Linked DNA regions of Kluyveromyces lactis. The protein of the gene in region 1 interacts with the protein of each later gene in a pairwise test. Links are inferred from orthologs where the notes say so. Each region holds a gene or a part of one and is shown in the gene's direction. Other genes may lie near its edges. The genes, in order: VPS51, VPS52, VPS53 and VPS54.

Region 1 (6,604 bases):
GCAGTTGGAACTCTTGCGTTTCTTCATCGCTACCCTTTTTTAATGAGGCGGCTCCGACATCATCTCTAAGCCTATTAATAGCAGGTGAGTTACCGATATGGGCCCCACATAGCCGTTTTCTTCTCAGGGAATATACCTTGTTGGCGAGATCTAGGAGTTCTTTGTCTTGCTCTTCCTCGGGAGTGAGCTTATATGGGATATCATACGATGTGAAACAAGTGCCGGAAGAAATAAAACTGGCAGTTGATTCATTGATCTCTTGAAGGTAAATGCTACTTCTTTTTCTCTTTTCGGATGCATTAATCTCTTTAAGTATATCTTGAAGCATGTGGTACGCCTTTCTTAGCTTGAACAAAGCCTTAGCTCCTTCCACCATTGATTCACTGAATAGCATTAACAACGCGTGGAGCAAACATGACTCGGTATATGTAACTGCATATTCTGTACCCGGTGGGTATAAAGAGCTCGTCTTGATATTAAGTTTTTGCAGCTTGGCCCTACTTTTCAATGAAAGTTGCTCAGCTTCTGCCAGGGTCGTGGAGGCCTTTTTCATTACCTCTGGTTCGAATCCTAAAGTGGCTTCAAGGAACTCAATAACACCTTTCGCAAGCGCTCCAACCGTTGCATCACCAGGACTGGTAGCCTGATTATCAGCTAGCAACTTCAATCCCACCTCCGCGTTGTCATCAAGGACATAATCCATAGCTTGCAACGCTATCTCAAAATCATGCGCCTGCTGTAGGATAAACTTGGTTCGTTCCTCGCCAGAAAGCTCCGTGGCCTTAGGCGAACCAGCACCTGTTAAAGCATTGAAAACACGAAACATCAGTATCACACAATGTACTACCGATGCTAGTACTGACTTCTAGCAGATGGTGGTCCTTTCCTTGGCAGGTTAATTTCTTCTCTTAAATCTCAGATCATTGATGAGACGGTTCTTGTGAATGGATCTAATTTGAGCCTTTTTTTAGTACCTCCTGCTTTCTTGTGCTAATCACGTGCAAGAAAAGAGAGACATAGAGCCCGATATTTGTACATTGCCGGCACACTGCAATGCTAAAGTATGTCTCTATATATCTAGCTGTATGACTTCGTCCGAGTATTTATCGATGATGCTCAAGTTTTAAGGTCCTTCTTAATGGTTTTCAATTCTTTCCTAAGCATTTTCTTCCTTCTTCTGTGACGATGATGCGGATTATTGTTCGGAATACTGATGACAAACTTGTCGACACTGTCCCAGACCCGTTGATCTATTTGTTTCGGAAGCTTTCGTCCATAGAGACATTGATCCACTAACCACATTCCCGTGAGAAAAGATTGTCGGTTCAAGGTACCATCGTGTCTCGTATCCACTTTATCATAAATTTGACCTAGCAACTGATTCGAAAGGTTACTTCTGGACCAAATTTCCATTACAATAAGGTTCAACATCAATCCATCTTCCGGAATATCTGCATCCTGTTCTTGGCCTTGTCCCGATTCTTGTTCCCGTTCTTCTTCTAATTCTTCTTCTAGTCCATGTTGTGATTCATGATCCATTTCTCGTTCCTGTTCCTGTTCTTGCTCTTCATCCTGTAGCGGCTGATTCCACCATGGTAGAAGTTCCAAATAACTGTTTCTGTTGGTGACCCAAATTCCCTCGTATCTTTTCCGTTCTCTTTCACTGATGTATCCAATATCCACATGAGACTTCCACGGCTTGTCCTCATTGAAAGATTTGCGCTTGTGAGATCGTACCATTGCCCTGTGTTTTGTTCTTCCTACACCAGCCGTACCCCCATTATAAACACCATTACCACCAACGTTGCCGTAATAGACGCCACTGGAATGATTGTTGATGCTGTTATTGTGATGATTATCTGTAGCATAATGCAATTCCCGATCTGAGTCAGATGAGAATGCAGATTCATCCGAAGAATATCCTCCAGCGACAGCAGCCAATTCTGAATTTCTATCGTAATCATTAGATCTCAATGTGGTTTGAAGCCTAGTCTTTTGCGTTGGATTGACGCTTTTCACAATAAGATTATCTTCTGCCCGATTCAACTGTAACTCAGATAAAGTACCACTTGGATTTTCATATTGATCATTTCCAGATGCAGAGGTGCCATTTATCCCTATAGCACCTCCAGCGGAGCTGCCATGCGTAGCGCTTGATCCAAAAATGTTACGCCATTTCTTCTTTTTGTGTCTCTGATGACCTGGTATAAGATCTGGGAGTGTACCCTCATAAGTCACAGGAACATTCATTCTTGCCGTAGTGTCATAAGAGATAGTGCCCTTGATAGGTGTGTCTTCATTTTCACTATGTTTATCATTCGAAAGAACGGAATCCTGGTCTATAAAAGCAGCTGGAGGCGCCTTACGCCCGGCCAACGTCCTAGTAGCAGTCCCAGTAGCAGTACTAGGTTTTCCATAAACGCTTTCCAAAGTTATCGAGTTTAATTTATCAGCAAGCGCCAGAGAATGAGTCGGTGAATTTTTGACTATTGACACTTTCGATGAGCTACGAGAAGATGACAACCCACCACCTGGAACGATTCGAATTGCATTAATGCTGCTATTACTCCGCGTCATACTCCCATTTGAGTTTCCAGCTGGAACCAAAACAATAGACTCATCACCACTAATTTCATTCTCCAATGCTACAGCCGCAGCTTGCTGCGATAACGCTGCATTACCTTCGACAGTCCGTGGGGAAACAGATAATCCGCCCATCGGTTTGCCCTTTAAACTAGATCTCGGACTTCTTCTAATAATGTTTATCGGAGTAGAAGTTGCAGAGGATGAAGAAGAGGACCTTGCCATAGCCTGGACGTTATGTGCCGGCGTACCATGCCCTGAATTGGGTAAAGATAGTTTTGTCCCTGGTGCATCCGATACTGCAAACCCTTGGCTCACAGTATGTTTCTTGAACATTGCCTGAGCAGCTTTCAGGGAAGCATCTTCACCCAATCGATCCTCATTCTTTCTATTGCTTTGTGTCACTATAACGTTCGGTTTATCCACTTGATGTCGGGATCTAAACCTCATCCCCGGTCTGTTGCGCCAAAATTCACAATCTCAGACCAAAAACAGAAGAGTTATTTAAGTATCAGATCCACTATTTGGTCATCCAATCGCTTCTCCTGTATCTGAGGGTGTTTCGTTGATCTGTTTGACATTTTCTCTGCAAACGTTGCGGGATGTACATAAATGTGTATATAAATACGTTTGATGGAACCTGTCTAGAAGCTAAACCCTTTAAAGAAACGGGAAAGATAAAGGTCACGTGATGTAGTCATGTGACCTGCTTTTTTTTTTTTTGAGTGCGTTCATCATACTTTAGACATTTCAGCTTGACATTAATTACCTTTGGACTAACCATTTTGAAGGTAGCCTTAACGGGTAATTGAATGTCTAGACGATACAGGACCCCAAGCCTACAGCCTGTTCAGTAATATTCAAGAGAGTTTGTGTTTCTTGGGACCATGGCAGAACAAATTACGCATAAAAAATCGTTGAAACGGGTAGATAATGAGAAGAGAAGGCTATTGAAAGAGTATTATCGACTACAAAAGGATAATAAGCCTGGAGAAACAACTGCTGAATCGGATAAGGCTGATACGAAGTCGCCATCGCCGTCAGTTTTACCTGGAGTAACAACGGGGTCGATACCAGCATCAGGTGCTGACATTGATTCTGGCGTGACCAGCGCTAATCTTGGCAATGTCGTTGCTTCTACACCCATTGAAAACTGCAAATCACCTCAAGATACAGAGCAAGAGATCCGGTTAGAACTGGAAAAGGGTGATATAGATGTAACAAAGAAGTCTTTGAAGCAGTTATTGCAAGTTCAAAATCTGCTCTTGGCAGAGGAAACTGAAGCAGACAATGCCATTAAGAATACTATATACGATAATTATTACGATTTGATTAAAGTGGATGAAATACTAAAAGAGATGACTCAGTTGGATGAATCCTTAGTGGAGCAACTGCGAGAAACGTGCAATATGGCTCGACCCATGTTGAAACAGTGACGGTATGCGCTGCATGTCGTATATTCTTTATTTCCCAGATCATCCTCGTCCTATCAACTATCATGATCTTTGTTCTTTCATAGATTTTGTATTATTACTACCAATATCATCTTTATCCTGCTCGTTATTAATATAAGGACCTGCAAAGATCCCGTCTTCAGCAGAGTCGCCATCGATTCCGTTTATTTCTATACCTACGGAACTGCTTGTGCTACCGACATCGTCATCATCGAATTCACCAGTACCATTGCCAAACCATTTAAATCTGCAGCACCATATGAAATGGGAAGCGAATATCCCGAGCTCTAACGCTGCGACGACAGCATACAATACAATTCCCATGATATCCATGTTCCCTACAATAACACTGGCAATGCTACACCATGCACCAAGTGAGTCAACAAACAAGAATATGAAATTTATGCCAACGACACGTCCCTGACGTTTCGCAAGCTCAAAATATGGTGGGATCAATCCTGCTGCAAGCAAAATAGTGGCAATGATTCCTATCACTAGCGCTGGCCAATGAGTACCATGATCATACACCGGTCTTAACCAAAGAGTAAACCCTATCTCAAAGCTGACAATGAATAATATCATGGGTAAAATACATCGAAGCAAGATCTTTTTCACAGAGAGACTGTAAGGGGGATAATATAATGATTGAACCCATGATAATGAGCAGAAAAACATGAATAAATGCGGCTGGATCTGAAGAATTATATTACCTCTTGTTATTAGAAAGTAGATTCCAAACGGTACCCCAGAAACCACCCAAAGAAACATCATTGAGGGGGGGAACCCTGTACAGTCTTTCCTGATATAGTTGTAAATAATTTGTGGAATCAATTGTACACACCAACATACCGTTCCAAGAGTAGCCAAAGCATACGCTGCTTTTTCAGAAATCATTCAGAACTGACAGTAATACTTCTAAACCACTTGCTCCTCAACTTGTATGTTATCTTTAGCACGGGCTTTCTGTCTTATCATTCAAATATCCTTCAAAATTTCTAGTAGAGCACGGTTTCCATAACCTTTCTGATAACGCAACAAGACCGTTATAATCTCCATTCCTGCGTCTCTAATCATTTCGTTAAATCATTGTTGAAATGAGTCATGTCTAAGGTTTTTCTATCATATAAAAAATCTTTCCTTGATGGAGTTTGTCGCAATAACAAAGAAAGTTGCATCAACGGAAATATAAAGCATACCAAGCTTTTACAGCATTTCTTCCGTTAATCATTCACTGTAACCACAGTCGTCTCACTTTCGGATATGACACTTAATAAGCAAGTTGTTAAGATCACTGATGCCTTTTTCAAATCATCCTTAAGGAAAGGTTCTCCATATGTATTTCCGAACAAGATCCGGTTTGAGATCAATGAAGGTGAGAAGTGGTGTATTTGGGGTCCATCAAAGGAGAAGTTCATTGATATTTTGTCTAACAAGTACATAAGTGATCCTTTTTCGGCAGTTACTTATGCGAAAGTTGTAAAGGGTCGGTTACCACGGATTGAACAAGTTAAATTTAAAGGTGTGATGCCTACAGCCCATTTGAGTGCCCGTTATGAGTTCTTCAAGGACGAATTTGATCAGACATGCGAGAAGTTTATTCTTGATAATTCAATGGGATCTCGTGCAGTAAATTATGAGGTTGAGACTACGAACAGATACGTGGATCCAGAGCTATTAACGTATTTGTTGAAAGAGTTAAAACTTATTGACATCAAAGATAGGTGGGCTATGGGGTTGAGTAATGGACAAATGAGACGTACTAGGCTTGCGCGCTCGTTATTGAAGGAACCTGACTTAACAATTATTGACGATCCATTTTTGGGATTGGATCCATCTGCGTGTTCGATCATATCAAAATTCTTGTCCAAATATGATAAAGGTACATCAGTCATCATAGGGTTGAGGTATCAAGATCAAATACCAGACTGGTGTACGCACGTGGTGTGTGTGGACAAGGATGGTATAGAGTTCCAAGGTCCCATGGAGCAGTATAGAGACCAAGTTGAATCAATGAGGTTGCAATTGTTAGAAGTACTACAGCTAAACAAACCTAAGAGTAAGTATACTATTGAGGATTTGATTTCGCCACATAAGTACTATAAAAGCCCACATCATGATGTGATGAAGATTCCATCAGTAGTCACGCTAGAAGGTCTGTCGGTTACATACAGTGGCGAACCAGTATTAAAAGATATTTACTGGGATGTCAAACAAGGTTCCAAATGGCATATTCAAGGAAATAATGGTGCTGGTAAGTCAACCTTGCTATCTTTGATCACTGCAGACCATCCACAGTCTTGGAACTCCAAATTTGTTGACCACGGCGTTCCTAGAAGAACCGGAAGCACTAACTTCTTTGACATTAATAAAAGGATTGGTCTTTCTTCGCCAGAGATGCACGCTCTCTTTTTGAAGAACGCTGGTGACCTCTCTGTGTTAGAAACAGTGGCATCAGGGTTCCATGCAGTCAGTTCCAACAACTTTTTAAAAGCGCATAACACACTTACAGACGAACAGAAAAGAATTGTTGATATGTATATCGATTATTTCCATTTGGACCCGAAGAA
Region 2 (7,897 bases), on another chromosome or scaffold:
GTATAATATGCTGCCAAAATGATCATAGTGGGTAGTAAATGCTGAAGCATAGCGCCAAGTAAGTTGAAAATATCACCAGCAAGCCATAGCACCACAAACATAAGCGAAAGACCTTCTGCCGACTTCCTATAGAAGTTTTCATAAATCTGTGGAACGAAAACGATGATCCAACATGCAATAGAAATGGAACCTGTAATCCCAGAAACAGTCTGGGAGTTCAATACTATGGGAACTAGTTGCATTCTGTTTGTTAGGATTTTTTTGGATGTCAATGGTAGTTTCAATCAACAGGTACAGATGATGACAACCAGAACTCGTTTCAACTAGAACTTTTAGTAAATTTCTTCTCTTCTACTTCCTTTGATCATATACTAAAACTAATCAAATGAAATGAGAAACAATATATTTTACTATTTTTTTCTCTAAAGATGTTACCAGTAAAGAGAGTTTATATATCAGCAGTAACTTGAACTCTCAATACTCGCTTGTAAAATGAATTCGTTACTCAGTGCATGACGCAACTCGCAAAGTTTCCTGAGAACAGAAGACCATTCTTTGCTTGAAAACCTTTCTTTTCTATTGAGATGAGGGTACGTCCGGAAAAAAAAATGAAAATTCCATTGGAAGGAAAGATAGTCCAGTCAAATAGAAGTTAGTCATGCGTCGTGCGTGATGTTTTGTACTGTCCTCAAAGAAAAAATGAAGCCCTTGGGGAATTCTAGATCTGCAAATGGATATGTTTGTTGCCGTTTGCAGTCATTGGTAGGGTATGAGTGTGGTTAAAAACCGAAGACTGGTTTTATAGCTATGTAGTCTACTTGTCAGATGCCCATATGCAAGGTGTAATTAACGTACAATTATATAATAAAGGGCTGGCTCTATTCAGCAGAAGCAGTTTCAGAGTCTTCTTTTGTAGAGTCGACTTCGAGTTTCCTAGGTGGAAGCACGCTTTCGAATGCTTCCTTCCAGTCCTTGTTGTCGAAGTATCTCAACATTAGTTGGACCATATGGCTGGTAGTCAACACTTTCCTTCCAGCAAGATTGATAAATTCTCCGATAGGAAGCCTCTTGGTTGGGATGTTAAGTTCCTTTGCCTTGTTGTAGCATAGGTTCTTATGTCTGTTTTTATCTACTATACCACCTACGATATAAGTGGTCCCTGGTTCTAAAGTATCCAGTTTTTCTTCTGTATCAGCAGTCAGATAGACGGCATTCTCAGTGGGCAAGGTTGGATCTGCAGTAAATTCGAAATTTTTCCACTTGGTGTAGTTAGAGTTGCTCAAATCGTTATCGAATCGTTGTTTTAATCTCTTATCGAAAGATGTCACTTTAATCTTGGCGTAATTATTCTCTCTTTTGTTGCTAGAATAAGCTCTAGTGACTTGTGTAGATAAACTTACAATTTCGCGATCGTTCATTAAATCATCGAAGGAACAGTCAAGAATAATAGATATGCCGGAATCACTTTGATTCAAATTAACTTTTGGTGGACGCTTTAATTCTTCAGGGATTTCTTCGCCTCTATCAGTATATTCCTTGAGCTTTTCCCTACGTGCCAATTTGGCACGATTTCTCTTCTCTTTGCGGATTTGTGCATATTCTGCCCTCGTCTCTTCAAAACGCTTCTTCCTGCAGATCTTCTTCCATTGTGATTTTGATATGCCTTCCGGAGGAGGTGGAAATTGTGGTGCCCTAACTATCGGCTTAGGTTTATCTTTGACATCTGAGGTATCAGCTGGAATCTCAGCATTTGAATTTTCACTGGTATCAGACATTTGAGCTTGTCTTCAATTCTTTATTCTCGAAGGACCATCTGCGATGAGCTTCCATATCGTTGGAATCTTTGAAAGCTTTCTCTAAACATTCGTTTCTTCTTCTGCATTTTTCATGTTGATAAAGTTTGAAAGTCACGTGGGTTTTATGTCACTGGATAATCGCTTCCTGTTTCGCGATTAACACAACGATTCGAATTATATCAATCCCGAGAGCGTGACACCATATTAACGTGCCAAAATTGATACTAGTAAGTATGTCCAAGCGCCTGATTGTACTTCTTCTCTTCTTGTTTTTTTTTTGGTTTATCAACATGTATTTATATCTAAATCTTTGAAACTTTGAAATGTAGAGAGCATTTAATTCACAGAGCCAAATGAAAATAATGGTTCTGTCGAGGTTGAAAAGAAAATACATAACTCTGGGTCACTATCAATTGACCGATTAATAACTATAACAGGGGGTTCAGATCAGTTCTTAGAAGATTGATTTTGAAAGATGTCCTACGCTACCAAGTTGGAATTACCATGGGTTGAAAAATACAGACCGCATTTATTGAAAGATATTGTAGGGAATGAGGATACGGTGCAACGGCTACAAACCATCGCTGCTGATGGTAATATGCCTCACATGATTATCAGTGGCCTACCAGGTATTGGTAAAACAACTTCGATACACTGTTTGGCACATGAGCTATTAGGTGATGCGTATTCACAGGCTGTATTGGAGTTGAATGCGTCTGATGACAGAGGTATCGAAGTCGTCAGAAATCAGATAAAGCATTTTGCCCAAAAGAAGTGCACGCTACCAGCAGGTAAGCATAAGATTATCATTTTGGATGAGGCAGATTCAATGACCAGTGGTGCTCAGCAGGCTTTGAGAAGAACAATGGAGTTATACTCTAATACGACGAGATTTGCTTTTGCATGTAACCAATCTAATAAGATAATTGAACCTTTACAATCTCGTTGTGCAATACTACGTTACTCGAAACTAACTGATGAACAGGTTCTCAAAAGATTATTGGAAATTATAAAGCTGGAAGATGTTCAATACACGAATGATGGTCTCGAAGCTATTATCTTCACTGCCGAAGGTGACATGAGACAGGCAATAAACAATTTACAAAGTACAGTTGCTGGTTTCGGTTTAGTAAATGGGGAGAACGTTTTCCAAATTGTTGATTCCCCGCATCCACTAATAGTCAAGAGAATGCTATTATCTGGATCTCTCGATGAATCGCTGCAATATTTAAAAGAACTTTGGGTTAAAGGCTACTCTGCGGTAGATATAGTGATAACTTGTTTCAGAGTAATGAAAAATCTCGATGAAGTTAAGGAAACGGTTAGATTGGAGATGATCAAGGAAATCGGCTTTACACATATGAGAATTCTTGAAGGTGTCGGGACTCATCTTCAACTATCAGGTATGTTAGCTAAAATTCAAAAGCTTAAATCGTAAATAGACTATTACCACATAATTAACATCCAAAAAGTAATCATAATGATTGTAAATATTTAAATGACCCAAAGTTTTCAAGCTTGGGGACCTATAGAAAGCATATAATTAAACTACTCCCCCGTTCGCTCACCGTCAGCATTTCGTTTTCCTGATGTGTGTGTGTATTACAACTTTCAGAAAAAATACGAAAAGCCTGAAATATATCAAAAAGAACATCGACTACACCGCAAAGAATACAGTTGGAAAAGAAAGATACTTCAAATTGTATTACACTCTGTTCGTGACAGAAAACCATATATTGAAATTATAATGGATGTTTTAAGCGATCTGTTAGAATTAGATGCAACTGAACTTCAACTGCCAGAGGATTCTCCATCAGGTAAAGATGATAACATTGATACTTACCGAGCCTACGTTGACTCGACCCTAAAAAAAGAATATCAATTACATACTGAATTCCTCAAGGAATTTGATGATCTCATGGAAAAGAACCAATCAATACGTACCTCTACTGAGACACTTATACCGAGTTTGAAAAATTACTTTGCCGAATTTAACAACAAGTTGAACGATTTGACTAAAGATCTCGATTTCGTTAAGGGTAAATTTTCTGAGTTTTCATCGTTACTGAAGAGTAACTCTTCGAAGTTGAAAGACATAAGTCCCATCGTTAATGATTTGATAATCTCTCCTGAAATAATATATCAAGTGTTAAGAGGCAAGATTGATCAAAAATGGATTGATTGTATTGATTATTTGAACGATAAACAAGAGATATTCCTGAAGTATCAAGAAGAAAATAAATCAGAGAGACCAAATGATTTCGAACAGTTGAATGAAATCTTACAAATACTAAAGGCAGTTTCTGCAGAAAGAGCTAAAAAATATATTGTGATAAGAATTAAGAGACTGAGGGACGGACATCCTGTGCCAGCGCAAAGAATTCAAGAGGAACTACTTCAGGTCAGAGAAATCTATCAAATGATCTACAATACCAAGTCGGACATAGCTACAGAATTACGAGAAGCATATATTAATACGATGAAATGGTATTATAAGACATATTTTGCAAGATATATTAGATCTTTGACAATTTTACAGTACGTCCAGATAGATTCTCAATACGCATTAGGACAAGGTCTTTCAAATACATCGGTTTCAGGATCTTATTCTAATTATCTTTATGCCAGTGGAAGAACGCTCTTTGGCGCACAAACTGCTTCCCACTTTAATGTCACTGATGACAGCATTAACGACTATTTCCAAATATCAAAACGGTTGGATCTTATCACGCAAGAAGATAGGACAGTTATGGTATCGCAAATTGCAGAGAATAATCCAATTGCCAATTACATCGAAGTTGGATTTAAAAATTTAAACTTGGCATTATTAGATAATTGCACTGCAGAATTTATGTTTTTGAATGAATTCTTCAGATTACCAACTGATAAAGGTGATCTAATACGAACCATTCTTCTGGATATCTTCCAGCCAACTTTTGATAATGCTATGGACTTCACGCATCAATTAATTGATACATCATTCGATATATTTGGTGTCTTAATCAGCATTAGAGTTGCACATAGACTACAATTCGAAGCGCAACATCGTCAAATCCCGTGCATTGATGATTATCTTGATGGTCAGTTGATTCTTCTATGGCCAAAATTTCAGAAACTTGTGGATTTCCAGTGTGAACAATTAAGATCTGTTTCAATAACAACCAACGTTGCCCGTGTTAGAGGTGCTGGAACCGCTTCAGACCCGTTAGTAACGCCTCACGAACTCACGGTACAGTTTTCCAAATTTCTTCTCAGTTTATTGAAACTATCGTTAACCCACAAGGAACTTTTAGATGAAAGGGCAGAACCGTTGTTCCACTCGATAAATAGAATTCGTGATGATTTCGAAACAATAATGACAAAATGCAGCAAAAAGACTAAAAACGCTGATAATTTCCTAACCACAAATTATATGTATATCTACAACGCCCTTCAACAATCGTTCCTCAGAACAGATTCTGAAAAGGAACCACTCATCCTCTCACAAACGAAAACTCATCTTTCACAGCTACTAGAAGCATATAGTAAGTAAATATATATATATATATGTATACGAACAACCATTACAGTATCTCGTTACGAATAACACATTCAATCTTCGATTTATTTAGTTGTGCCGTTTCTCGTTTATTTTAAAAACGTCAATAAACATAAACAGTTTCTACTTTATTTTCGGTTCCATATATATGCTAATTTGAGATGACCGAAACAGAATAGCTATATGAACGTCGAGTGACGAGGAAATCCATTGGGCTGATCCACTCAACATAGAGTGTAGTCTGTGGTCAATCGTATGATGAAAAGGCCAACTGATTCGCAGAATGAAATTATCCAATTCCCTTATATACCTGCTAGCACTCTGAAAGTTATTGCAGGACCCGGTTCAGGTAAGACATATACATTGCTATGCAAAGTTCGAGAGTTGATCCAAACGGGGCAGGTGAAACCCCGTGAAATTATTATTCTATCTTTGACTAATAAAGCAGTTGATAATATTACAGATAATCTTCTAGGCGTCTTTCAGGAATTAAGCGATAAACCGTACACTGACCATGAAGTTGATGACATTGTTTCCCAAATTGGTATTTACACGATCCATGGCCTCTCGAACAGGATAGTTACTGAAAATATGGGTATTGTGAACATAATCGAGGAAAACGGTTGGAGAGGTCTAGTCAAGCTCATTCCAAAAGATTTTTGGAATAAGAGAAATGTTAATACTGCTAATGACCGGATCATTACGAAGAAGCTTCAGAAACTTATAAATGAATACCAAATTGACACAGATAATATTGATGAGACCATTGAAAAAGTAACAAAGTTAATGAAGCATTCAAATGTTTTGACTAACGATGATTTAATCAAAATGGCTGTGGAATTCTTAAAAGAGCCGAATTCAGAAGAGGATACTGCATTCACCAAATTTGTACTAAATGAAGCCAAAGTTTTAATTATTGACGAATTCCAAGACTTATATCCAGGTATATTTAAACTATTAAAGACATTACTTGGTCAAAAACACTTTTTAATATTTGGAGATATCAATCAAAGCATTTATGAGTTTTTGGGAAGTAACAAAGAAGTCATGTCTGAATTGGACAGGTTAAGACCTGATGATAAAAAATTCACTAAGTACATCCATGACAATTTCCGTAGTACACCAGAAATAACTGCTGCAGCCAATGCTGTTATAAACCAAACCGTTCCTGTTCAGATTAAAAGAGAAAATATAGTAGAAAAACATCCTTCCGGAGTTTACCCCATCAAATACAATTGCGAAGAATTAATAGATGAATTGGACTTCATTGTGAGTGAAATATGTCAGCTAGTTTGTTCTTCTGCAAAACTATCTGACATTGGCATTTTAGCAAGGACCAATTCTCATTCAAAGGCGATTGCTGACCACCTTTCAACATTCGGAATTCCCGTTTCAAAATTAACAACGCAGCCAGATTGGATGTCAGATCAGCGGATAAGATTCATGATTGATTTACTTCAAGTCGCTGTTTCGGTCATAGAAGAAGCTACACTGCCTAAAGACGCGTCTTTCACCATGAAAACTAAAAGTAATTTCAGTGTTATTGTTACTTTAGCAGCTTTAAAAGGATTTGGTAGTAACACCCTTCAGAAATTACATGAAAATGCCACAGCCACAGGTGCATCAATCTGGCATTTTCTAACAAATACACCTGTTTCAAAGTGGGGGTTTACTCCGGCAGTTACAAAAAAACTCGAAAACTACTTGCTAGCAGTATCAACATTAATCAACGATCCTCCTATTTTGGAAGTTGAACAGCCGCACATCTTAATAGATAACTGCTCATCTGTGATTTCAAAGTTAGATCTACCGTTATTCATGTGTGACAGTAACTCTGAATCAGGAAGTTTCCAAGTAAACTTGAAAGAATTCTATTCTGCTATAAAATTGTCGCTATTATCTAAACCGCAAGATCTTCCTACCGCGACTTGGTTTTTAGAAACTTTTCACGATCAAAGCATTATATACCATAACAATCAGAAAAGTATTACACAGGAACAGAATACTTTAGGCAGCGTTAACGTATCCACGATTCACTGTGCAAAGGGACTAGAATTTCCGATAGTTTTCCTAATGGGCCGCACAGATTATGGAAATTTCCCAATTGAAACTAACGCATTATATGTGGCCGTTACTAGAGCTCGAAACCTACTATATTTAATGAACGTGCAACATCGTTCATTGTCAGCATTTCCTGACCGACAGTCATCATTACTGCAAAATCAAGCGTTTTGGAAATATTACAATAGTGATTTGAAGAGGCCGTTCCATGCGTCAAATGTTAATAATGCTATGAAGTTCAAAAAGTTGCAGACAAAATTCGGTTTGATGAATAGATACTTTCATAGCCTTTCGCAGAGCTTGAAGATACTACGTAGATAAGTCTTTATTAAACAAATCCTTCTGGTACACCACTAGCTGGCTTTTGGTGGACATCAAGATAAATACCTCCTCTACCGAAACCGTACCATTTGAATTTCGGTTCAATGGGTTCACCATTGTCGTCATAGTATTCCTGTAACAGCTGGATGGTCTTAATTGCCTCAACGTCAGAATACGGTAC
Region 3 (8,437 bases), about 610 kb from region 1:
ATCTAGAGAGTCTGTTGACGAAGTATTGGACATGGGGAACTCTTCTCGATGCATCGAGCCAAAAATACTGCTTTTTCGTCTGGGATTAGCAGGTTTGTGCATTTTACTTTCATCCATTAGTTGCCAACGAATATCTGGCGGCAGATCAATTTCTTCCACCATAACTTGATGAATTGCCAAATCAAATCAGCTTATTGAAAGTACTGATCTAATAACGGGATAGATACTGACTACCCACAGAAGGAATACGATTTATATTCAGTTGAGTCCCAACTGTAATAATCGACTATTATTATTATTATTATTATAATAAAAAAAATTAAGGATCAGGTCAAAAAAATCAGTACCGACTCTTTTAGCTTTGTCTTATATCTAAGCAATACGCCCGGATAAGCACTTTGTTCCTCAATCGATATACTTGTTAATTTCTGGTTCTCCTATTCTTTCTCGGGTCCAGACCCGCATCGTATATTTTTCTTTCGCTAATCGCTAACGTAGCTTCAAATCGTTGAAAAGTTTTGGTTTTTGTCCTTAAAAGTTGTCATCGATATTTCTGTGAAAAGGAACAGTAATTTTGGAAAAATGGAATCAGAACTGTGTGAAAAATAATTTAATTTTACATTGACACATATATGGAAAGGATGGTAAGATATATAATTAATATCACGTGATTTAGAGGATGTCTAAGAGCAACCATAAGAATGAAATATATAATGATATGCGGTATTGATACCGTTTTCAAGACAGTTACAGGTATAGCTGTGAGTATTAAAATTATATCTGAATTTTTTATTTGTGGTAGGGGAATTAGTGTACAGAAGAGAGAACAATTATGCGCTTCCAAGAGGACAGATGTTCGAATCAATCATCTTGGTCCCAGTTACCTGGTTTTGGACCCTTTGGTACGGCTGGACCACCAGCTCTCTTGGCCATGATGATCTGGTCAACTGAAAGTACTGTCTTCGCAGCCTCTGTGGCGACATCGATAGCGAACTTCTTAGCAGCTAGTAAATCATAAATGCCTTCATCTCTGATATCTTTGATGCATTCCGGGGTATTGTTGTCTATATCAATACCTTGGTACAAACCATCGTTGATTTCGTTTGACGCAGTTTTTTGAGAGTGGGCAGCATATAAGTTTGGTAGTACTTCATTAACGTTTAGACCTGCAGTTTCTGCCAACGTTCTTGGTACCACTTCGAATGCAACGGCAAACTGTTTGATGGCAAGTTGCATTAGACCTGGCGTCTTTTCACCATAGTTGCTGATTCTTGATACCAACTCTATTTCAGTAGCACCGGCACCTGGAACAAGTTTTCCACCATCCTGTTTCATTAAACCCTTAATTGCATTGACACCGTCATCAATGGCACGTTCGATATCGTCCAAGTTATTTTGCGTAGCACCTCTTAAGATGATTGTGGCAGTCCTAGTGTTTTCGTTCTCCTCTTGTTTGAAAATGGTAACTCTATCACCACCAATTTCTTTCGTCTTTACGGTCTCAACAATACCAATTTCTTCTGGAGTTGGGGCACCTAGCCTTGGCATTGGTGTAGCACCACACACACGGCAAATTCTTCTAAGTTCGAATTTACTTGGCACCTTTAGGACGAGAATATTGTATCTGTTCAAATAATGTAAAGCAAGCTCACCAACACCGGCACCAGCAACAACACATCTAACACCAGTCTCGGCAATTTCTTTCATCATTTGGTCCAGTTGTTGTTCTTCACCTTTAGTGAAATCTAACATCTCCTGAGCATTATGTAAAAGCACAGTACCCTTGGTTTCGGTGTTTGAGATATCAATTGGACATGTAAACACAGCAACCTTATGCTTTTCACCTTGAGGCAAGGACTTCAAATGTCCTTCTGGTTCGCGGTTGAAGACTAAACCCTTGATAACAGATGAGTTGGTAAGGGAACCACCCATAATCTTTACCACTCTAATTGAGTCGACATTGAAATAGTTGGAATTTGGTAGCAAGACATGTGCCACAGCGTCTGATACTAAGGAACTTAAAATATCTTCAGAACCATATTGCTTGGATGCAATGACTGGCTTGATGACCTTGATTAACTCACTTTTTTCATGTTTGTTCTTGATATCCAACACAGACATCTTGTCAAGTTCTGCCAAAGTAAAATTCTTTGCCATTGTGTAACCTTGAATAATTTCTACAGGTGAAAGACCTAGCGCAATAAGCTTTTCACTAACATTCAAAAGCTCACCAGCCAACACCATAACAAGGTTAGTACCATCACCCATATCAATTTTTTGTTGTTCAGATGCCATCACCAACACTTTAACAGCAGGATGGACAATCTCTAATTCCCTTAGCATGGTAGCAGCATCGTTGGTCACAATGTGCTTTCCCAAATGATTAATGATGATCTTGTTTCTGCCGCATGGCCCCATAGAAGTTAAACACATCTGGTGAATCTCTCTAATGGCAGCGATCGATTTATTGATTTGACCATCAGCATTAGAGTACGAATTGTACCCTTGCTTGAACAATCCCGCATTAGGATTTTGAGGAAGTTTCAAAGACATGCTGCTTTTCAAGGATTTGTGAATTATCTGCTTTCCTTCCAAGGTATAGCTTTTCCACGTACAAGTTTCGTCTTCGCCACCTTTGTTCACGCACTGTTTTCTATATTTCAACTATGTTGTTAAAAGATACTTTAGCATTTTTTTTTTTCAGTATTGAGAGATATGCAGAAAATATGGGAATGCTTTAGCCAATAGTTACTAGGGACAAAGTGTCTGAATAAGGCATGTGTACATGTGTGTTTCTGGAGATCTGAAAGTACTATCATCTTACTCTAAAGAATAGGTATGTAGCTGGGTGATGGATGCATCCACGTCAACATCCTAGGAATAATCATAGCAGAATAGAGTTATGTATCTTAAAACTTCGCTGATCCTGGCAAATCAAACCATTTCAATATATAGCTCAGGAAGGCACTTACTCTGTTGTTCTGCCATATGCAAAACATATGTTTGTAAGAGCAGCATCGTTGGCTACACACTGTAACTCGTTGAGCAATAATATATTATGCAGTGCGAAGATTACATCGTTCTGGTATATGTACAGTGTCAATGAAGCTACTCAAAGGAATTGCTTCAGTAGCTCAGTCGGAAGAGCGTCAGTCTCATAATCTGAAGGTCGAGAGTTCGAACCTCCCCTGGAGCATTATTTTTTTCATAGTTAAAGGGTTTGGAACTGTCAATTCACCTTTTAAAGACTTTGTATTTTTTTTCGATATTTCTGATATCAGACTTTCATAGTAATTATTGCATACAGAAACAAATATAACAAGAACCTTTGTTGTATCATCAGTAAATGACAAAAAGAGCCAGCAATTGTAAGTTGCAGAGGTATAATTCTCCCTTCTCTATCCAGCTCCTCCCCATTATTGTTTCCTGTATTAGTATCACGCACATTAATTTGAATTGAATAACTAGAACTTAACAAGTAATGATTTCAGAATCTTTGGAATACGATCCCTTACACGATCTTCAACAGATATTCTCGAAGCAGGAATCTTTATCAGATATTGATAACCTAGTGCTATTAACCGAAAAATGTAAATTTAATTTAGAGGAGCGGGTACGAGAAAGCAATAACACCAGTTCAGAAGTCAATAGTTTAGAAGACAATTATGATTTCCACAAGTTGTTTGAGAAGATAAATTCAACGAAGTCTCTGTCACAGATTACTGAAGCAACCATATCCGACTTGACACATGATATTTCAGATTTGGATAACGCTAAGAGGAATATAACGAGATCGATGACGTGCTTTGAAAATTTGAAGATCTTGAGTGATGCATACGTGAACTCTAAAAAGTACATGCAAGCTGAAAAATACATTGAAATGTGCGGCCCCTTTAAAGTTATGCATTCCTTATCTGTATCTTTCCACGAATATAAATCTTTGGATGAGTTTTGTAAGTTTCTAAATCAAATTCATCGTTTAGAGAGTGATACACTATTGGTGTGTGAGAGAGTAACGAAAGAAGTGCTTAGGGATGGGTCTAACAGTAAATATGACAGCAAAACGATGAAAGACGGTATATGTTGCCTTGCGGACACTAATAAGCATTATAAAGAAAGGATTGTGCAATTGTGTTTGGATTCTCTATTGTATGAAATTAAAGAAATCTTCCAAATTGATGATGAAGCTGGTTCTTTGGAGAATTTGTCTAGACGTTACATCTTCTTCAAAAAAGTATTAAATAATTTCCAGTCTACTTTCAGCGAATATTTCCCATCAGAATGGGAGATACCTTTGAAACTAACGGATTCTTTCTTCACAATGACGTCTAACGATTTGAAAACATTATTGAAGAGAGATTTGTCCGGTACCACCTCCATTGACCTATTCATGCAATCGTTACAAACTACCTTAGAGTTTGAAAAATACATATCAGTGAAGTTTTCCCATATATACGAGGGTAAAATATCCACTTGCTTTGAGCCATATTTGAAATTATGGGTTAGACACCAAGATTCATCTTTGAACGCCAAGATGTTGACATATCTTAATGAGACCAAGCTCCCAGCTAAAAATGAATCGCTTGTCGTTCCATCCAGTGCAGACTTGTTTAGAACTTATAGACACATTCTTTCTCAAACTTTCAGCTTGATAGAAGGCGGTAATAAATCGACCATAATGGTGGAATTGGCGGTTTTCTTCGTCAAATGGTTGAATGAATATTATGAAAAGATTTTGAAACCATTGTTGTTACCTGAGGATACACAAATCGATGATAAGAATGAAGTAGTGAAATATACCGTTCTTCTTGTCAATACAGCAGACTATTGCGCAAATACAATTGATCAATTGCAAGATAAACTCTGTGAATATCTTGAGAATGATGAGCCAAATATCAACAAAGTTGCAGCCATTTTTGAACCTACAAGGCAAAAATACATGGATCTCGTATCGGGTGGTATCAATTTACTACTAAATCGCATCCTGAAGAAAGATTTGGAATTTGTATGGAGGGAGTTCACAAACACAAATTGGGCTAATACAATGGTGGAAGATTACAGCAGATATGTGACTACCTTACAGAGTATCCTCCTACCAACAAGATCGGAAAATTCAACATTTTACTCCACTGTTTCTCAATTCAATAGAGATCTTTATGGTTGGAATTTTATTGATAAAACTATTGATTTAATAGCTATCTCTTTTGAATCTCAAATTATAAAGCTCTTGAAACCAGCTTTACCATATGGCACTCTTAATTCGAAAAGACAGTTCGATGTGAAGCAAGTGATAAATATCGCAGAACAATTATTGTTAGACGTTCAACTATTGAAGACAACGTTGCATTCACTTCCGGAAAGTTTACCGCAACATGACACATCAGCTAAAAGAGTCACGAAACACATAGATAGTAATGTGGAAAAACTAATGCATCTTTTAAAGTTACTTGTCTCTCCTATTGACCCTGATACAACATACTTGGAAACCTATTATGCAATAACCGCAAGTCAGAATACAAACTCAAATTTCTGGGCATTTATACTAGCGCTAAAAGGTGTACCTTGGGATTTGGCACTTTGGAAAAGAGTATGGTCAGAATTTCAACAATCAGATGATGATACTCAACCGATGAAACCAGATGACCTTATTTTCAACCCTAGAGAACTACAAAACTTTATTTACAATCTATCGAGGGTATCAGATCCATCATGGAAAACATTTTTGGAGGAAGACCTCAAGATTAAACCTGTTCCACGTCCTGATTTATCCGTAGCTATACAGTCCTCCCCTAGTCCACCCACTGGGTCTCCATCCCCTAAGATTCCTGGACATAAATTGAATGAGATAAAAAACCTTATGTCAAACTCCAGTTTTTTTTTCAAGAAGGGCTAACTGCTTCTGTAGAGAAGCTTCCACACGCAGTTTGACCAACGAAACAGCAACACTACTTGTAATACTACCTTTACCTCTGTAGCAGATTTATCAGTTTAAATAGGCTTTTTTTAACATTTTCGAGGCATGTCAATGCGTCAAGTCAAAATGACACAGAAAACTCGAAGATATTATTTACTTATGAATATTAAGATATATCAGTTAACCTGAGCACTTACAATATATCTGATTATATGACAAAATGTGCCGCACAAGTTGGTTCGGCTATCGACTTTATTTTGAAATCAGACCTGGTATCCTCATGCAATGATTCCATTCTTCTACATAATGATTTTTTTCACTATAGCTGAAAGCACGCTTACAGATGCTGAGTTTAAGGAAATTGATATGTTTATAGATGTTGTTGGTGAATCACATTTTGCTCTGATGTTTCCTGTGGAATTGATCAGAACCGATTTGAATGATACGTTTGACCCAAAACAAGTTTACGATATTTTTGATGAATTAGCTGAAGAGCGCAAAGAGTTTCAAATAGTAAAAGAACTTGATATACCTGAGTTTGTGGCCGAACCGCTTTATGATAGGCTGACATATCTCTCAGTCAAATTGGATAATGGATACACCGTAAATCTAGCAAATGAAATAGCAATAATTCAGGATATAATCCAAATAGCAGCAGAGTCAGACAACATTAAACTCGATTTTACTGCTCTTCTTAGAGTTAAAGAAGAGTTGAGGGTTGATATGGCAGCCGTGTCAAAATTAAAGTTGTTCAAAACGTGCTTATTGTCCAACCTTTTCCCATTTATGCAGGAAGAATGCGAAGGACTCTTAAGACAAAAGCTAATTGAACATCTCAAGATTTGGATAGAAGTTTGGAAAAGACACCAAGATGATTGAATTAGTATGAGCTTTCTCGAGTTGAATTAAGTATTATGTGCCTTTTCTACTATATCTTGTTCCTATTTGTAGCATAAGTATTAAAAGGAAATGCAATAAGTTCAGCCATTAATTTTGTTAGAACTTATAAGTGACTTCAGCTCCCACTGAATAGGCCGATGTACCGAAAGACTTGAATTGCACAGATTCCCCCTTCGCTATTTCTTTTGAATCAGAATCTGTCCATTCTAGTGGAACATTCGCATTACTATCAGTATAGGCCAAAACATTGAAAGTATAGTTACCTTCATTTTTCAATTCGGGCAAGAAAGTGACACTGGCTGTTATCTGTCTAAGTACTGCCCGAATCTCCTTTTGGGTTTCCTCTAATGGAATGTTCATATCATCATCAGTATCGTTCTTGTTGCTGTGAGAATCTACGTTAAACTTCCATCTTTCAATTGTTTCACCATCATCCTTATCTACTATACACAGAACAAGCTGGTGACATTTACCTCCCAATAACCACCTATGAACCTGCCGGAGAATTTCCCGTATGTATTGTTTAAGTTCTGTATCTTGTGTTTTTAATAAGCTCAAATCATACTTCTTAACTGTAGCGAAGTCTTCTGCCGGGTATACTGCTCGTTGATATAATATTGAATTTATACTATATTCAAAGAACTCAGTAACAATTCGTGTCGAACCTTTTAATGATATCAAATCCATGTTTCCAATTTTACTTTCCAGTCTCTTCTGAATCCTTGTTCGTCGAAGCAAGTTCAAAAAACATATGTTATTGAGCTCATTTTAAACTACTATTTTTTATAATTAACATTCAAACTTATAAGTTATGATTATGATGAACAGCAAATCAGAACGTTAAACTCAATTCCACAGAGACTCGAGGACAAATAATGGTATGGCAGACCTCGGCACTCTTTTCAAAGAAGATTCTCATAATATACAATTGCAGATTACTAACATTTACAAATTGAAATGAATTCAGCATGGTGTTACACGAAGAGAGTGGACAAAGGAGTTATTAAGGAAGAAGCGCGAGAAGGAGAGACAGGAAATCCTCGATTATCGAGAATTATCAGATGAGGTTTTAGAATTGAAGAATAAAAGAGTAGCAAACAAGGACTCTCTTCTGAAGACTACCCAGTTACTTAATATCAATCCAGAATTCAACACCATCTGGAATTATAGACGTGAAATTATAAAACTACTTGCCCCATCACTGGATCAAACTTTCTGGGATGGGGAACTTGCTTTCACTATGGACAAATTGAAGGTTCGTCCAAAAGTATACTGGATATGGAATCACAGGGTTTGGTGTTTAGAGCATTATCCTAATTCTCCCTTGAAAATCTGGTTGAAAGAATTAGCCATTGTTGGCAAATTACTGGAAATGGATGCGAGAAATTTCCATGGATGGCATTACAGAAGATACATCGTAAGCACAGTAGAACGCTTAAGCGGAAACTGTCTAAATTCACAAGAGTTTGAATACACAACCGCGAAAATAAATCAAAATATCTCTAACTTTAGCGCGTGGTTCCAACGAACGAATATAATTGAACATATGCTGGCGAGAGATCAAATAGCTGACAAAGAGTCCTTCATCGACGATGAATTTCAGTACATAAAGAATGCCATGTT
Region 4 (8,444 bases), on another chromosome or scaffold:
TCTGATAACGCTTGATACCCTAGGCTTCTTTCGTTGTCTGGTTCTCAGTTTTATTTTATTTTATTATTCCATTAATTTTTTTGGATCGCAGGAATCACCTTCTACCATCCAAGCAGAGCTTACTTGATATAATTCAACCTAGCTTTTTTACTGCGTGATACACACGCGGTTGAACAAGACAGCAGAGTATAATATTCAGAAGGTTTTACCAGATAAACACAGCACGCTTTGCATTATGCAGAATAATTTAGCGGCGTATTTTGCTCAGGGGAATGCTTCTCAGGGGAATGCTACCCCGGGTAGAGTCGCATTGAACAGAAGCTCATCGAATGATGAATACGGAACAAGCAGTGTAAATAAACAAGTCCCAAATTACGACGATATGGGTCCTTCTGTGTCTATGGCGGTTCATGCTGATGACGACGACCATTTCAAGAATTCTACGTTCAATTTGAAAAGAACACGATCCATGGGACTGTTGGATCCATACATCGACGATACTCAGAAACTTCTGGCAGGTTCGAGCTCTGTTGATTCCGATAACTTCTCTAACAGTAACATCGATGGCTTGAGTAACGACCTCAATAGTGGTGACAGTAGCGGGAGCATGAATAATATTAACAACAACAACAACAACAACAACAACAACAACAACAACAACAACAACGACAACGAAAACAAAACTGATAATATCAATAAAAACAGTAATAATACTTCTTATAATGACGATAACGACGGTAATGATACTACGCTTAATGACACCGGGCTGAATAAACACAATACAACTGTTGGCGGAACCGACGAAGACTACACAGACGAAAACATGCAAGTCGATAACTACGACGATGACTACGAAGCAGATTACGATTACGACTACGACTACAAAGATGTAGAAGATTCTAATTCTCCTCCAGACCCGGGTACTGACGATTTCCTAATTCATCATGATGACAACGACTTGATGTATGAACCCAATAGACATGTGGATTACTTATCTCATAAATGGAACGAAAACGAAATATCTCAGTCATGGCGTTATATCATTTTGAAAAAGAAACGGAAGGACACAGATTTAATCAATGCTGCAAGGTTGGAAAATGCTTCCTGGAGAACTTGGTCAAAGGCTAGAAATAATCTGAAAACTGTGAATCCAGAATCTTTGAACTGGTCAAAGGATTCTGATGTAACTTGGTTATACGGTCCGATTGTAGTGGGCGATCAAAATAACTCGACGTCGTCATCAAAGCCCACTTCCAACGTTGAAATAGGAAACAATCATGCGGCCACCATGGGGTATGGTTCCGATGATGAAAATTCAAAAAGGTTGATCCAAAAGTCTCAGAGTCCCGGTCCTAAACCTATTCTAAAGAAGAGAACTGTTAGTGAAATTATCGAGGAAAACTCCAAATGGAGATTAGATATAGCAAGGCAGCACAGAAAGCAAACTAGTGACTTGCATGCTATTTTGGATCCGCAGTCAAGTCAGACAACGCATGACGATTATGATGCTATTGCCGCGAAGGTGAATGCACAATATTACAAAAATATCCATACACCGCCTGATGAATCGGTGGAATCTATTTCGCCCGTTGTGACCGAAACAAACTCGTCGATAGTAAATACCACTCCAGGTCCAATCTCTGGCTCTGTGATAGAAACCCCATCCGCAAGATCTGATCCTCCCATATTATCATCGATTCTTACATCATCGATGAAGCAAAAGCAAAAAAGGGAAAGACATATTCATTTCAATGACCGTGTCGAACAATGTATTGCGGTTAATCATAACCCCATAGACGCTAATCCTAATGATGACGAAGTCCCAATGACAAATACCGATTACCACTCTGACGATATGTCGGACGGTGCCAGATCTTCGCATCAGTATTCTGACTTTGACGATGGATATAGAAATTCAGGGGCCAACAGCGTCGAAGATTACGCCGATGACGAAGATGATGAAGACGCTGACAGCTACGATTATGATGAAGATGACGACGAAGATGACGAAGATGATGGGTTATTTATCAGTGCACATACTAGAAAAAATCGAACCAATTCGGGGGCTAGTGATGGCACAGATGTTGCAAATTCTTTAAGATCACTCTCACTATCCAAATTTCCAAACGCAACTATTAAACCACTTCCAGCCACTACTCTAAACTACGGATCTGACGATGAATATTATGATGAAGACGAAAATGAATGGTATTATGGTAACGCAGTATCACACAATGTGAATACTAGCAGAGGATTTGACTACATGTATGATTATAATTCCGTTTACACGGGGGATACATCCAACTTTGTAACTGTGGACAATTCGTGTGATATCCTCGATGTACCGGATGGCATTGGATTAGATACTCCAATACAGGACGCGAATGACGGATATATGGATGATGACTCAAGAGGGAAAATATATACATACCATCAAAGCCTTCCGGTACAAGATGATAACGATGAACATCCGGACAACGAATTCATCGCAGATTCTTCCCAACCTGGTTTCAGTCATGATGACGAAGAGCATGACGATAACGGTGAAGAACTAGAGCTTACTGCAAAAGACCCACTATCATTAAGGCGAACCTCATCTATAGGGAAGTCTAGAGCAAATTCCATTCATGATTTTATCACACCTTCCAATTCTGCATCTCCTGTTTTAAAACAGACACATAGCTTCATCACTGGAGAACCTTTATCTCAACACAATTCGACGGTAAGAAGACCACCATTAAAATCTCCTTCATCGGGTAGCTTTTTATTTGGATCTGATTCTGATTCTGAGTGATCGCTCAAGTGCTCTTAGGTATATTCGGAGTTCATTTTTTTTATTGAGGTTAAACTTAAAAATACCACTCTACCAGCATATATATTTTTTTTTCACTACGTAAATAGTATTAATTAGAAGAACAACAATTTTTCTTGGTTTTATCCATCTGCGTAGATCTCTCGCTCAGCGCTTAATGCTTCTATTGATTAACTTGCTACGGTGTTTTATTTATGTTGAGAGAGTGCGCTTAATTATATACTCAAACTACCATGTTCACTTTCTTTTAGAAGTATCATTGAATATGTAAAAACTGAAAATCGATTAAAGTTCATATTGTAAACAGATACATACACCTTTAAGATGCATAGCAAAGAAAAAGCTGTTCCAACAGACTATAAACCAGCGAGTTAACTATGCCGGATAGGTTACTGGGAAGTGAGACACCAGCTCTATCTCTAACTCCTGATAGTAGGACGCAATTAAGTCGATCTCCACTATTGGTGCCCAGTCATGCCTCAGATGATGCTAGCTCGTTGAACGATGATCTATCTGTATTATCTAGAAACAGGGATCAAATAAGGGACAGTATGTCTATGAGGCGTAGTAGTTTTGATTCCACATTCAATTCTTTTTCTACAACGATGCATACCCAAAAACACGGTCTTGATTATTCACCGTTGGTTGATAATTCAATATATGAAATTGTGATGAACACCAGATTTAAAAGATGGTTGCGGCACCCAACCACCGAGGATATTCCCCCTGTAGTTCTAAGCAAGAACGATATTAAGGATAAATGGGACAAGGATATTAATCAATACAGAGATGACATTAAAGACGAATATAGGGTGTATCAATCGACAAATAATATATCAAAGTTGAACCGAATGGAGCAAATGAGATCTATTGATCATGATAAAACTGCCCTTGGATTGCAAAATACGAAAGCCAAGGCATTTGAAGAAATACCTGAATTCTATTTTGATAAGGAGTTCAAATTAGATCACCCCAATTTCTTTCGAATGCTTCTACGAGATTTTGAGTTTGATGCCAATCAACTACTAAATGATGATGATAAAGTTAGAAATGACAGCTATGAAGAGCTTCAAGGAAGATTGGCATTCTACTTAGATACTGTTGAGGGACTCCTTGTTTCTGAAATCTCCAAGTCTATACAAAGCTTTTTTGACGCTTTGGAAGACGTCGATAAGATTAGAGAAAATGCGACAGAGACAATCAACGAGTTGGATTCTGCTGCTGAGGCCCTTGAGAGGATAAATGGGGATAAAATCTCAAAAAGAATTGAGATGATTAAAGATCTCATAAGAAGGAAAAATGTGGAAAAGTTACAACAGGGGATCCTACAAGTAAAACTAGCGAAAGAAAAATGTGAAGAATGTAAAGAAATATATCAAGAAGAAAAACTACAAGAGTGTTTGAAATTGGTTAAAGCAGTTGAGAACTTAATAAATGGTGACAATGATGATCCCACTGTCAATGATTGGACCTCTCAGTGGCCGTACAAACTCACAAACATCTCAAGTTTTTCTAGTTTACAGGGCATAATAGACATGCTAAATAATCTGAAGGTTGACATCGGGGGATCTTACTCATTGAGTCTGGTTACCGTACTATTGGAAGATTTGAGGACGTATTCGAAGTCTCAATCGAAAAATGACACGATCATCAAATTGCAATCTAGGAAGGATAAGAACAAACCTCATTTAAAGATCGATGAGACCTTCCGAAAGCAAATCAAAGAAAATCTAATACAATTAATCGATTGTGATCAGTTGGTTCCGGCAGTGAAGCTATACGAGGATAAATTTATAGCAGAGTTGAAATCTGTTATTAAGGTTAATCTACCGCATGAGAGACAAACACCTGAAGAGTCGAAAGATGGCTCTAAACCAACTGCCGCCAATGGGTCAAGGCTATCAAAGTTGATTCAAGAACAATCATCTCAAGAGTTCCAATCAATGCTTGTAAATATATTCACTTCTGAAATCGAACTATTGAAGAGGTTAACGCGGCATCAGAAAATGCTATTAGACATTTCGCTAAGTGAATTACCGACAACGGCAGAGCAATCTGATAAGATGATTATTGATCTTGATATTCGGAAAAGCGTTAACGAGGGTATAAGGATAGTACAGCTTCGAATGGGGAAAATAATCTCAGTGAGACGGGATATCACATGTACATTACGTTTCGATCATTTCCTTCAGTTCTACGAGATATGCATGCTTTTCATGAGAGAGTGTGAATCTATAAGCGGTGAATTTCTAACGAAGTATCTTTCTGACGTATTGAACCTCCAAATCGATACATATTTGAAATCTTTACAAAATTTGAACATAAGGGTTTTGAAACAAAAGATCGATGTAGAGAGATGGACACCATTCATCGTCGAGCCCGAATTGCAAAAGGATGTCAATGATATTGTATCGTGTATTGACATTGATCCGTCAAATTGGACACGATTCATCGAGTTGAACAAACCTTCTCCATTAGACGAAACAAAGGATGAGAAGCAATCCTCTACCGGTCACAAAAAATCCGTTGTCTTAGGTGATAAGACATTCGTGGCAAGCGAGGCTCTAATCCTTGCCATCAAAATGATCAAAACTTTATTGGTACTCGCCTCAAACTTCCCATCACAGTATGCAAGACATTGCGAACGTCAATTGTCCGATGTCTTGAAATTCTTCAATACAAAGGCAATAGAATCTATATCATCATCACTGACAGACAGACTATCTACAAAGACAGATAAAAACTTGAATATCATGGCCGAATCACTTGATTGTCTAGCGGAAATAACGCTACTACTACAAGGGTATTTCCAACGTACGCTGGGATCTAAGACAGATAAGTACGAAAACATCTGGAAACAATTACAACAGTCCAGTGAGAAATTGTTCCAAACAAACAATATCCCGCCTCCTGTTTAAGACAAGTACTACCCATCGGGTAAACAGTTCACTGCGCATGATAGAATAGGTGATATCTCAGTTGTACTGAATATTTATGCATATATATTAGCAATATGAATCACGTGATAGTGTGGACTCACTATATGCGTCTGTGTATGTATCGTTACCCTGCTTTCCGTATAATATGATCGCAATTTCTAACGAGGGTCAACGTTTTCCAATGAACATCATGAAAACATTGACCCAACGAAGCTTTGAAAAGTTAGAGATTCTGATACTTTTGAATTAGAATGTTTTGTTTTGTTTACCCTGACAAAACACCAAAGTGATAGTTTTACACTGGTACCTTAAGGCGTGTGAGAGTATTAATCACTGTTCAAGTACGCGCGGCATTTCTGGTCTGTTGAGCGAGAGGCAAGTAAACTACGGAAGAGTTTTATTGACCTGTATTATTAGTAATTGCCACTTTTTTTCTAAGGTATCAATCAGTCTTATTGTCTGGGTATTCCCATCTTAAACACATTGTTTTAGGTTAAGCAGAGCATTTATATCCAGCTCGTGTCCATATTCCATTGTGATTCAATCGAGGTAACCGGGTCTTGTTAAAGCTTAATTGTTTTCATTGATCATGTCGCAGAACGATACGAACCATGAGTCTGTTGAGGAGGCTGTTTTCAAGTACGTTGGAGTTGGCCTAGAGAAATCTGGGGAAGACGACGCTGTGAACAAGCAGAAGTCCGTAGATTGGTTTTTGAAGGAACAAGACCAAGACCAGGACCAAGATCAGGATCCGGGCAGGGACCAGGACCAGGAGGATAATGCGAAACATCGTGATGCTAACGATGTAAGTGCAGTCGCTGCAGCTGCTGTGGCAGCTGCTCTTTCTGTGAAGAAAAGAGGCCGTCCAAGCGAGCAAAGTAGTACTGGGTCTAGTGGCAAGGGTAGTGGTTCTTCAGGTCAGAATAATAAGAAGTCTAAGAAGAATAAAAATAAGCTACATCTAGCTGCTGTGGATCCTGAATTAGCATCGTTAGATGATAATTTGGTCGATGGGAACGATTCGGAGGAGCAATCTCATCACCAATTGGTCCATAAGGCAATCATGGACACTGATAACATCGCTTCTCAACACCCGGATTTCCAACAATATTTGAACACGGAAGACGATCAAGAACCTAAGAAGGAAAAAAGCGAAGAGCGTTCGTATGGTGACCTTTCCAACATAGACGATCATGTAGATGACGTCTCAGTATCTGGTAGCATCCCTTCACAGGTAAGGCTGAAGAAAACTGCGGAAGTGTTGCCTAAAGTGCTGTCATCTGAATCTCATAACGACGATCAACAAGATGATGTATCAAATTTGATTCAAGAAGCTGCTGCCAAAGCTTCCCATATTATCAATCCGGCAACCCAATCGAATGGTAAATCTTTCGATGAGTCTGAAGAAGAAGCTCTAGAACAATTCATCAAAGAATACCAAAAGATCAGAGGCCTCTCGAGACGTCAAATTTGTGAAAGAATTTGGTCCAACGAAAGAAGGAAAGATGACTTCTGGACTAATATCTGTAGGGTGTTGCCTTACAGGACAAGATCTTCGATTTACAAACACGTTCGTCGTAAGTATCACATTTTTGAACAACGTGGTAAGTGGACTCCTGAGGAAGATGCCGAATTAGCAAGATGGTGTGCAGAGAAGGAAGGTCAGTGGTCAAACATCGGTAAGGTTTTAGGTAGAATGCCAGAAGATTGTAGGGATCGTTGGAGAAATTATGTCAAGTGTGGTCCAAATAGAGCCGCCAATAAATGGTCTGTGGAGGAAGAAGAAAAATTGAAAAATGTTATTCATCAAATGTTGGATAACGCCAGCACTGCGTACGAAGATGGTGAAGATGATGAAATGAAAGATTCATCTACTAAGATAGAGGATTCTGGAGATGCTGATATGCTGGATGTTCAGGATTCTGATAAGAAACCCTCTATTTCGAACTCTAAAAAGAAGCCAGCCGCAAAAGATATTATAAACTGGACTGTTGTAAGTGAACAAATGGGAGGATCAAGATCCCGTATTCAATGTCGTTATAAATGGAACAAATTATTGAAAAAGGAAGCCTTGAATAAAATCAAAAACATCTCAGATGACGATAAATTCTGGTTGCTAACTAAATTAAGAGATATGGGTTTCACAGAGGATTCTCAAGTGGATTGGGAAGAATTATCTACCTTAATGCCTGGTAGAAGATGGACTGGTACTGAGTTGAAATTATTATACGAAAAAGTCAGGACTACAGTTCGCCAATACAAACGAAAAACTATTAATGTGATCTGTAAAGAACTCGTTGGATATCCAGAAGCCTCATTGCCACTTGACGATGAAATACGTCAACATCATAGCGGTGATGATGAAGATAAGGATTGATCCTGATCAATACCTACAAAATAACAACTAAAGAGCTGTCATATTTTATTATGTCCACTCTTTCCATTTGGTTTTTGTAACATTTCATGATACCTTGTACCTCCCTTCAAGAAAATATTCAATTGTAATTTTCTCTAACAAACTTCATTTTTCTCAGAATATAGGATGAGGGGCAGGTCACCACGTTTTCACTTACCTGCGAATCATAAAACTTAGTTGGTTTTATTTTTATTATATTTAACAAAGGTTAGTATTTTTTATATATAAGTCTGTATTAGTATGCGATAATATAAAACAATTATCACTCTTCCATAAC

What was found.
Region 2: the proteins of VPS51 (region 1) and VPS52 interact in binary tests that used the Saccharomyces cerevisiae proteins (3 or more experiments, as listed by UniProt). The link is inferred for Kluyveromyces lactis from reciprocal best matches to the Saccharomyces cerevisiae genes VPS51 and VPS52.
Region 3: the proteins of VPS51 (region 1) and VPS53 interact in binary tests that used the Saccharomyces cerevisiae proteins (3 or more experiments, as listed by UniProt). The link is inferred for Kluyveromyces lactis from reciprocal best matches to the Saccharomyces cerevisiae genes VPS51 and VPS53.
Region 4: the proteins of VPS51 (region 1) and VPS54 interact in binary tests that used the Saccharomyces cerevisiae proteins (3 or more experiments, as listed by UniProt). The link is inferred for Kluyveromyces lactis from reciprocal best matches to the Saccharomyces cerevisiae genes VPS51 and VPS54.

What each region holds. Positions count from the first base shown.
Region 1 is NC_006040.1:184,779-191,382, reverse strand, and holds VPS51 (Vps51p), read left to right. Parts: upstream 1-3,470; coding exon 3,471-4,019; downstream 4,020-6,604. Other genes in the region: KLLA0_D02244g (TTC39/IML2 family protein), read right to left, coding at 1-826; KLLA0_D02222g (uncharacterized protein), read right to left, coding at 1,117-3,033; ILT1 (Ilt1p), read right to left, coding at 4,080-4,931; KLLA0_D02156g (uncharacterized protein), read left to right, coding at 5,298-6,604.
Region 2 is NC_006039.1:334,982-342,878, reverse strand, and holds VPS52 (Vps52p), read left to right. Parts: upstream 1-3,543; coding exon 3,544-5,328; downstream 5,329-7,897. Other genes in the region: YPQ1 (cationic amino acid transporter), read right to left, coding at 1-242; TRM10 (tRNA (guanine(9)-N(1))-methyltransferase), read right to left, coding at 879-1,775; RFC4 (replication factor C subunit 4), read left to right, coding at 2,272-3,234; HMI1 (ATP-dependent 3'-5' DNA helicase), read left to right, coding at 5,590-7,716; VPS72 (Vps72p), read right to left, coding at 7,724-7,897. UniProt on the Saccharomyces cerevisiae protein: Involved in retrograde transport from early and late endosomes to late Golgi by linking the vesicle through the t-SNARE TGL1 to the Golgi, leading to the membrane fusion between late Golgi and endosomal vesicles.
Region 3 is NC_006040.1:791,544-799,980, forward strand, and holds VPS53 (Vps53p), read left to right. Parts: upstream 1-3,481; coding exon 3,482-5,893; downstream 5,894-8,437. Other genes in the region: KLLA0_D09328g (serine/threonine-protein kinase), read right to left, coding at 1-162; chaperonin-containing T-complex subunit CCT8, read right to left, coding at 862-2,553; KLLA0_D09416g (uncharacterized protein), read left to right, coding at 6,200-6,793; spindle checkpoint protein MAD2, read right to left, coding at 6,911-7,501; Rab geranylgeranyltransferase BET4, read left to right, coding at 7,690-7,692, 7,782-8,437. UniProt on the Saccharomyces cerevisiae protein: Involved in retrograde transport from early and late endosomes to late Golgi by linking the vesicle through the t-SNARE TGL1 to the Golgi, leading to the membrane fusion between late Golgi and endosomal vesicles.
Region 4 is NC_006042.1:412,925-421,368, forward strand, and holds VPS54 (Vps54p), read left to right. Parts: upstream 1-3,189; coding exon 3,190-5,730; downstream 5,731-8,444. Other genes in the region: RPI1 (protein phosphatase regulator REG1), read left to right, coding at 236-2,794; KLLA0_F04389g (DNA-binding protein REB1), read left to right, coding at 6,341-8,128. UniProt on the Saccharomyces cerevisiae protein: Involved in retrograde transport from early and late endosomes to late Golgi by linking the vesicle through the t-SNARE TGL1 to the Golgi, leading to the membrane fusion between late Golgi and endosomal vesicles.